Linked DNA regions of Canis lupus familiaris. The protein of the gene in region 1 purifies or fractionates together with the protein of each later gene. This does not show direct contact. Links are inferred from orthologs where the notes say so. Each region holds a gene or a part of one and is shown on either strand. Other genes may lie near its edges.

Region 1 (4,117 bases):
TGCGGCGGGGTGAGGAGGGCACGAGGGGGCTACCCCTCGGGGAGCCGGCCGCGGGCGGGAGCCGGGCCAGAGGGACTCCCGCCGCCCGTGCCTGGACGGGGACCACGCGCCAACCCTCACAACTCTCCTCCCCTGCCGCTGGCTCCCGGCCGACTTCCTCGTACCCCCTCGCAGGTGGTACGACCCCCCAGTCTCCGAGCGGGTCTCTCGGCCCGTGCTGGGTCTGAGTTCCTCGCGGCGGAGGGTCCCCCGAGCGTGTGCGAGCGGGTTTCGGAGTCGCCGGGAGAGGGTGGGTTCTGGGGGTATGGCCGGCTCCCCTCTTAGAGCGCAGGTCACCGAGGAGGGCGCTCGGAGGGGCGGGCTGGCGAGGTGGCTGCAAGGACACCCGGGGGAGAGCTGGGGAGATTGGCGCCCAGCCAGGCGGGCACGGCCAGCAGGAACGGAGCCAAGGCGTGGAGGAGCGGGAGAACCGGGGCGGGGGCGGGGCTGCCGGAGCTGCAGAAACCCTCGGGGTGACCCAGGCGTCCGGAACCCCCAGGCCCCTCCGCTCGGCTTTGAAAGAATCGCGAGAGCCGGCACGTAGGCAGCGGACGGTGGGGGTGGGGACTCCTGCGTCGGATGGGGGGGGCGACCCGGGGCCGCGAGGCTCGGGAGCCCGGACCTAGCCCCTCAAAGCTTTCCCCTTGTCTTCGACAGCAAGGAGACTCGGGGTTATGGGCAAAAGAGAAGGGAAACTGAGGCACGGTGTGGCAGATACTGTGTGGTCCCGGCCCACCCTCCTTGACTTTCGGGGACCACCCCCTCAGTCGGGCCCCATCCTTCGGAGTCCCTGGCCTCAACCTCCCAGGCGGAGAGACCCCAGGCCCGGGGACCCCGCTCCAGACACTCACCAGGGCCGCGGTCCGGCCGCGCGGGCCGCCCCCCGCACAGTCGCACCTTGGACAGCAGGATGAGGAGCTGCTTCTGGCAAAGGGACTTGGTGCCGCGGGGACACACGCGCCGCTGCGCCGACACCGGCCGGCTGCCCCCCGGCTCGCGGACCTCCCGCTTCTGCCGGATCAGGCTACTGGCCAGAGCCGCCATGGCGCCCCGGGAGGAGAAACCCCCAAACTGGCAGGCGCCCGGAGCGCGCTGGGCTCCTCAAAGAGAAGCCCGCTCACCAGGGCATGCTCTTGACGCTGAGGTCCCAACTCACCGCCTCACCCACAGGACCCGAGGATAAGCCCCAGGCCTCCCCACCCTCCAGCTGCTGGCTCCCACCCTTGGGCCCCGTTCTAGCTCCACTCTACCCAGCAGCCTGTAAATCTCTGTCGACCCCACCCTCGACTTTTGGCCCCTACCGAAAACTACTCCCTCTCCTGTTCTTTCCTTACCCGTCCCCAGATCCCTTAGGCCAACGTGAAGACCCTCAAAATTCCCAAGATGTGGTTCCACTACCCCCAGCCATCTTTCCACCCTATTTTGGGGACCTGCACTGCCAAAATCCACTTCTATAATCTAAAGGGTTCAAGTCCTTAGCTTTGAATATATTAGCTCAACCCCATCCCTACTGGGGCACTGTCAGTGTGAGGGAGGGACCCAACCTTCGTGCCTTTGCCACCCTCTAAATGGAAAGGATCCTCCACTTTTTTTCCAGTTAAGTCCCCCAAAACTATGTCTGGGAAAACCCAGGCTGTCCCCGTTCAGCGACTAGGGGTTCCTGGGCCCTGTCTCTGGACAATACCTTGTTTTCACCAAGTCACCCCCATTTCTAGTGGCACATGGTACAGCTGCTGATCCCCTTTCCTCACCTTGTTACCCTCCACTCCTTTTGAAATCACCTCCAAATCCACCCTTCCCAGTGGATACACCAAGTGGTTGTCTGGAGGGCCTCTGTCACCTCGAAATAGGGAGCATCCGTTTTTTTTTTTTTTTTTTTTTTTTTTCTGATTGCCCCTTAATTTCCTCGGGGACAGCTGGTGCTGTTTAGATCCCACGCCCCCTCCCAGAGGAGTGCACCCACGTTATTACCAGTTCCCGAATGTGAACAGGCCCCCTACGAGTCAGAGTGCATCAGAGCTTTCTGCGACAGGGCTTCTCATCTTCCCCGGGACAGCCTAGAGCACCCCCTCTTCCTTCCCCGACGCCCCTCGACCTGTCCTGTCTCGTTGATCCGGCGACGGGTGGCGCTGGCTTCTGTTCCAGGCTCCTCCCTCCCTGTCCCTCGCCAGCCGAGCTTCCCCCAACGCCGGGCTAGGCGCCCCGGACCCCCAGGAAGGAGGAAGGATGTCTCCGCAGAGCGCCCGGGTCCGGCGAAGTCAGAGCACTGGGCCGGGCGGCTGGACCAAGCGGCGGCAGCGGCAGCGGCAGCGAGAAGCTGAGGCGGCGGCGGCGACAGCAGCTCTCCCTCCTCCGAGAGCCGGCCTGGGGGCGGGGCAGGGGGCGGAGACGCCGGGAAAAGGGGAGTGCAGCCGGGCGGGCGGAACCCCAGGGTTCCTCGGAGGCCAGGAGTGGGGACGGTCTCGGAGGCGGGCGGAGCCGAGGCAAGGCCGCCCGTCTTGGGGGTTCAGAGGAGGAGACAAGGAGGTGACTCCACTGAACGGAGCCCTAGATGGGAGGGGAGGTTGGGCTTCGGATAGATGGAATGGCGGACGCTGGGAGAATGGAGAGAGGGTCCCTCCTGCCCGGCTTGGGAGGGCAGAAACGAATGAGGGAAACGGGGTAATAACGGAGTAGGCGAGGGTGGTGGTGAGAGCCAGCCCTGGGCGCAATCCGGCCCTCAATCTCTCCGATTTTGTGTGAGCCAAATTGATCAGTCCCGGGTCTCCACACCCTCCTTTTGCGTCTTGTCAGCAAATATACACCCCCCCCCCACCCCTTCCCAATTGACTCCTAAGAGAAAAGACCAGAAAAACTGGGGAAGATGGTTGCCAGAGGATGCGCCGGGCTGGGAGGTGTGCTGGCAGCAGATCTGAGTAGAGATGCCAGAAATGGGACGACCTAGGCCAGGAACGGGGCAGGAGGATGGGGAGAAGCCCCGAGGAGGCCTTCCAGGCTGTGCTCTTCGGGCCCAAGGCACTCAGCGCGTGACCTCGGCGAGGGGCTAGCAGCCCCCACCACATCCCGCTGGCCAACAGAAGCACTTGTCCACGCGGGTAGGAGCAGCGTCTTTAATGGGCCCCGCCTCCCACGCCGGCCAAGCCGCCCCCCTTGCGTGCAGCCTTAGCCTCCTCCACCGCGGCGCGCAGGGCCCCGGCAGGGTCCCCGCGGAGCCGGGCCAACGCCCCGAGCAGCGCGGCAGCGCCGTCCCCCGCGCGGAGCTTTCGGCCGCTCAGAAAATAGTGGGGCAGTGTCCCGGCCTCGAGCACACGGCCCAGTTCATCCAGCAGCCCGAGGCAGCAGGCGCCCGCGTTCTCGGGCCGCGCGAGATAGAGCGCGGGCAGCCGCTCGCACGCCCAGTAGAGCAGCGTCCGCAGGAGGTAGGGCGCCGCGGCCCGGGTCCCGGCCACCAGCGGGCGCAGCAGCGCCTGGGCCGCCGCGTGCGCCTGCAGCAGCGGAGCGGGGATGCGCGCCTTGAGCGCCAGCTCCTGGCGGGCGAAGCAGAGCTGCCAGCCGCAGGCGCCCGGCGGCTCGGTGTGGCCGCCTGGCACCAGGTAGAAGGATGCCGACTCGGAGGCCAGCGGCCCGGCCCACGAATGGCTCCGGGCTCCCTCGGGCCAGCCGGCCACGGACACTACGGGAATTAGGTCGAAGAGCAGGAGGTGGCGCGGGGGCCCCGGCGTCGCCAGGAGGACGGTGGTGAACCCCGCGTGGCGCGCTGCGTGGACCAGACGTGGGGCCCCCGGGACCGGGAACAGGGACTCTGCGACCGCGGCCAGTGAAGCGAAGAACCACGCAGCCACCTGGGCGGGGCAGAGTGTGGGCCACGCCTCCCAACGCTCCGAGGGCCAGGGGATGGGGCTGACGACCGCTGCTTTCCTGAGGTCACCATTCAGGGTTTTCAGTGGGGTGGAAAGCTCCAGATCGATTACGTCTTGTCCCTCTGGTCCAGATGATTGATCCAAAGACACGGTTGGCTCAGGCTCAGTGCCATCGTGCGGCTGGTCTACCGGGCTTTGCCGGTCCTTGGGACTTTCTT
Region 2 (3,516 bases), on another chromosome or scaffold:
AGCCATTACATATTGGTAGGGAAAAGATACAGAATTGTAGAGCTGAACTCCTGTTTCTTCCAACTGTTTGCTCTGGCTCTATGATTGCTCGTGTAGGATTCTAATTTAATTCTCTGATTAAGAGATTGATATTTTGGGTGGCGCAGTCAGTTAAGCATCCAACTCTTGGTTTTGGCTCAGGTGGTCATCTCCGGATCAGAGATCAGTCCATGTGGGTCTCTGCACTTAGTACAGGTGTCTGCTTGAGATTCTTTTTCCCCTCCTTCTCCCTCCTCCTGTTCCTTCCTTCTGCTCTCACATGCTCTAAAATAATAAAATCCTTAAAAGTTCAATATTCTCTCTCTCCTCTCTTCTCTCATCTTTAGGGCACACCTGATGTTAATGAATTAGTCCCCTCTAACTTCCTCTCCCCTTGCTTCCTCACTAGAGGGAGAAAAGAAATAATATGAGAGTACATGTTAAATATTCCTGAGAGTAAACAGGACTTAAAATTGTATTTGAGCATTTTCATATACAAACACCCTTATAGGTAAAACTGATCCACATACAATGATTTCTTTTTGAAGGTTTTATTTATTTATTTATGAAAAACACAGGGAAAGGCAGAAAGACATAGGCAGGAGGAGGAAAAGCAAGCTCCATACAAGAGCCCAATGCGGGATTCAATCCCTGAACTCTGAGATCACATCCTGAGCCGAAGGCAGATGCTCAACCACTGAGCCACCCAAGCATCCCCCACATACAATGTTTAGGACAAGGCATGACTGTTACTTTTGTGAGACAGAGAATCCTAAGCAGGCTCCACACCCAGCACAGAACCTGATACAGGACCAGACCTCATGACCCGGAGATCATGTTCTGAGCTGAAATCAAGCGTCAGATGCCCAACCAACCGAGCCACCCAGGCACCCTAAAACATGACTGTTATTCTTATAAAAACAAGACTATATTGAGCCCCCAAATTCTCTAACATATTACAATTCTATAGATTACATTCATATCTAGCTATACATTTGAACTTATTAAACCTAATATCAACTAAATTTGAAAGATAAACTATAATCTAAGACTAGAAATAACAAAAATTAAGGACTGTTTCCTAAGCATAGGTGAATTAGCTGAAGCTAACTCCTGTCATATAAAAAATACATTCTGCTAAAAGTTGAACTATTTCCCTTTGTCTTAATTTTTCATACACATCACAACTTGACATTACTTCTGCTTTGATAAGCCTCTCCCACACCCCCTACATCAAAATGTCATATTAACCAATCTTCGTGAATGTTGAGTATCAGCTAAAAAGTAAAGTTTGGCTCTTCACCACTCTTTAACCTGAAAGAGAATAAGATCATTGGGTCCACTGTACAAACCCCACAACCTATGGCCATCTATACAGAAATATTCTCTAAAAATCATCAGCTACTTACTTGGAATTAGTGCTACTGGTCTTACTTTCAGGGAAGACCCAATTACAATGAGGAGATCAACTTCGTCTTTGTCATACTTCATGGCTCTATGAAACTGCTCTGGTAAATTTTCACCAAAAAAGACAATCTCTGGTTTCATGATAGCAAGTGGCTCATCAGCTGGGCACCTAGGACAACGAGGAACCACCTACGTGTTCCAGATTTTGGTTGAGATTGGGGGGAGGGGGAAAGCCCAAGTTAGAAATAGTCAACATTTACACACTTCGCAAGAACACATTTCAAAATTATCAAGCTGAATCACTATATTGTACACCTGAAACTAATACTGTATGTTAACTACAGTAGAATTAAAATTAAAAACTTAAAAAACTAGAATTCCCACATAAAAAAAAGATGTGTTTTCAAGCTGAAGTGTGGAAGCATATGAAAAAGGGCCGTGTACTTAAATACTTAGGGGAAAAAAATTACCGAAGAAAACAGAAAACCTGTGGATAAGTAATAGGGAAAACTGGATACAACTCTCAATGGCAATGCCAAATGACTTTATCAACATACGATCAAATACAAAGATGTTAATATCTGAGTATGTAGCTATTATAATGTCCAGGAAGACACCTACATTTGATATTTAAGAGTCCACAGCAGATCAAGCATCTGTATATATGTATGCACAGGACTTAATCCTTTAAAAAACGTAAGAAATTATCCCTTTTTAATATGCTATTCTCCACTCATAATTATGTATAATTAACTATATATACAGCTAAGCACATGTAATTTATATCGGGATGATTTTTATTCTCTGTCATTATTTTCCTGAATTTGTGTTTTGGGGACAGTGATCATACATGAAATACCTTTTATAATAACTTTTTAAATATTTTAAAGGATTACCAAAAACTAAATTTAAGATTCAGAATCTGACAGGCACTAAAAAGGGAAAGTAAGAGAGACTTTTTTTTTTTTTTTTTTTTTTGAGAAACTCTAATATATCCAACACTTCACTTATGATTTGGGCTTTTAACTTAGATATTAAGAAGCCAATTTCATCATTTTAGAGACATTATTTATAGAGCAATGTTTTCAACTTAAGGGATTAAAAGGTTCTCGTATAGATCATCAGAATTCGCAATGCTAACATTATCTTCCTGGATCTTTCTGTATCACAAACTTTCAGAAAAAAAAATAAATAAGAAAAATGTGAAAGCAAAAGAAGAAACAGATCACAGATATGCACAATTTCTAAAATACAGGTGATAAATTACCTGATTAAAAATATCTCCTCGTACAGCTTCACAGTCTACTTTGTATTTACAAATCAGGCAAGATGCTGTTGCAAAGGAACCTAAAAAACAACACATGCACCGCTAAAAAAGATTTCTATTTCTTTAAACATACCACAAAGATTATAAAGTTTGACACCAGAAAAGAGAATTGACACTCCACAGGGGAAACTCAGGAATAAATAATTAAAATACAGACAGAATCCAATCCTCAATTATTGAGATGTTGACATAGTGACACTTCCTAAAGATGGTCTTTCAATGAAATAAACCAATTCCTTGAAAGTTAAAATCTGCAGAGTTGGAAGGTTGTAATTGTATGACCTTAGCTTAATTAACAGTTATACATAAAAAACGTAAGAAAATGGTCTGCTCCTACTTGTTGTTTTAGATTGGAAAGTCTTCTAAATATCTAAATTCTATACATCTGAATTACCCCATTCCTTTGGTTTCATAAACTAAACAGGTCATATTTTTCTTACATGAGTTAGTATTACTTTTGTAATCAAAGGAGGTTATTTAGAAGAATTTAATGGAATACAACCACTAAACCTTTTGAAACACAATAGGACATTAAGCTGATATTTTGTACAATTAAGTATCAAGGCCAATAATTCTGGTTTAAATTTTTTGCACCCCATTTTTTAAAACTTATCTACAACTAATCAGATAACATGACTAAATTTCCATTTCAGGAAAGCAGCCTACTTTCTAATCCTATTTTTTCCTATAAAACTAAATAAAAGAAATCAACTCTGAGGTTACTAACCATGACACTGAATTATCCTTTGGATTCCTGCAACCTG

Evidence for each region. Proteins that work in one complex are often made in the same cells at the same time.
Region 2: the proteins of FGF11 (region 1) and SIRT1 purify together in Homo sapiens (affinity purification with mass spectrometry; 3 studies listed by BioGRID and IntAct, with this or other methods). This does not show direct contact. The link is inferred for Canis lupus familiaris from reciprocal best matches to the Homo sapiens genes FGF11 and SIRT1.

The regions. Positions count from the first base shown.
Region 1 is NC_049226.1:32,573,706-32,577,822, reverse strand, and holds the start of FGF11 (fibroblast growth factor 11), read right to left. Parts: upstream 2,807-4,117; 5' UTR 1,084-2,806; coding exon 891-1,083; intron 1-890. Other genes in the region: TMEM102 (transmembrane protein 102), read right to left, coding at 3,150-4,117.
Region 2 is NC_049225.1:19,918,923-19,922,438, reverse strand, and holds part of SIRT1 (NAD-dependent protein deacetylase sirtuin-1), read right to left. Parts: coding exon 3,480-3,516; intron 2,773-3,479; coding exon 2,693-2,772; intron 1,615-2,692; coding exon 1,428-1,614; intron 1-1,427. UniProt on the Homo sapiens protein: NAD-dependent protein deacetylase that links transcriptional regulation directly to intracellular energetics and participates in the coordination of several separated cellular functions such as cell cycle, response to DNA damage, metabolism, apoptosis and autophagy.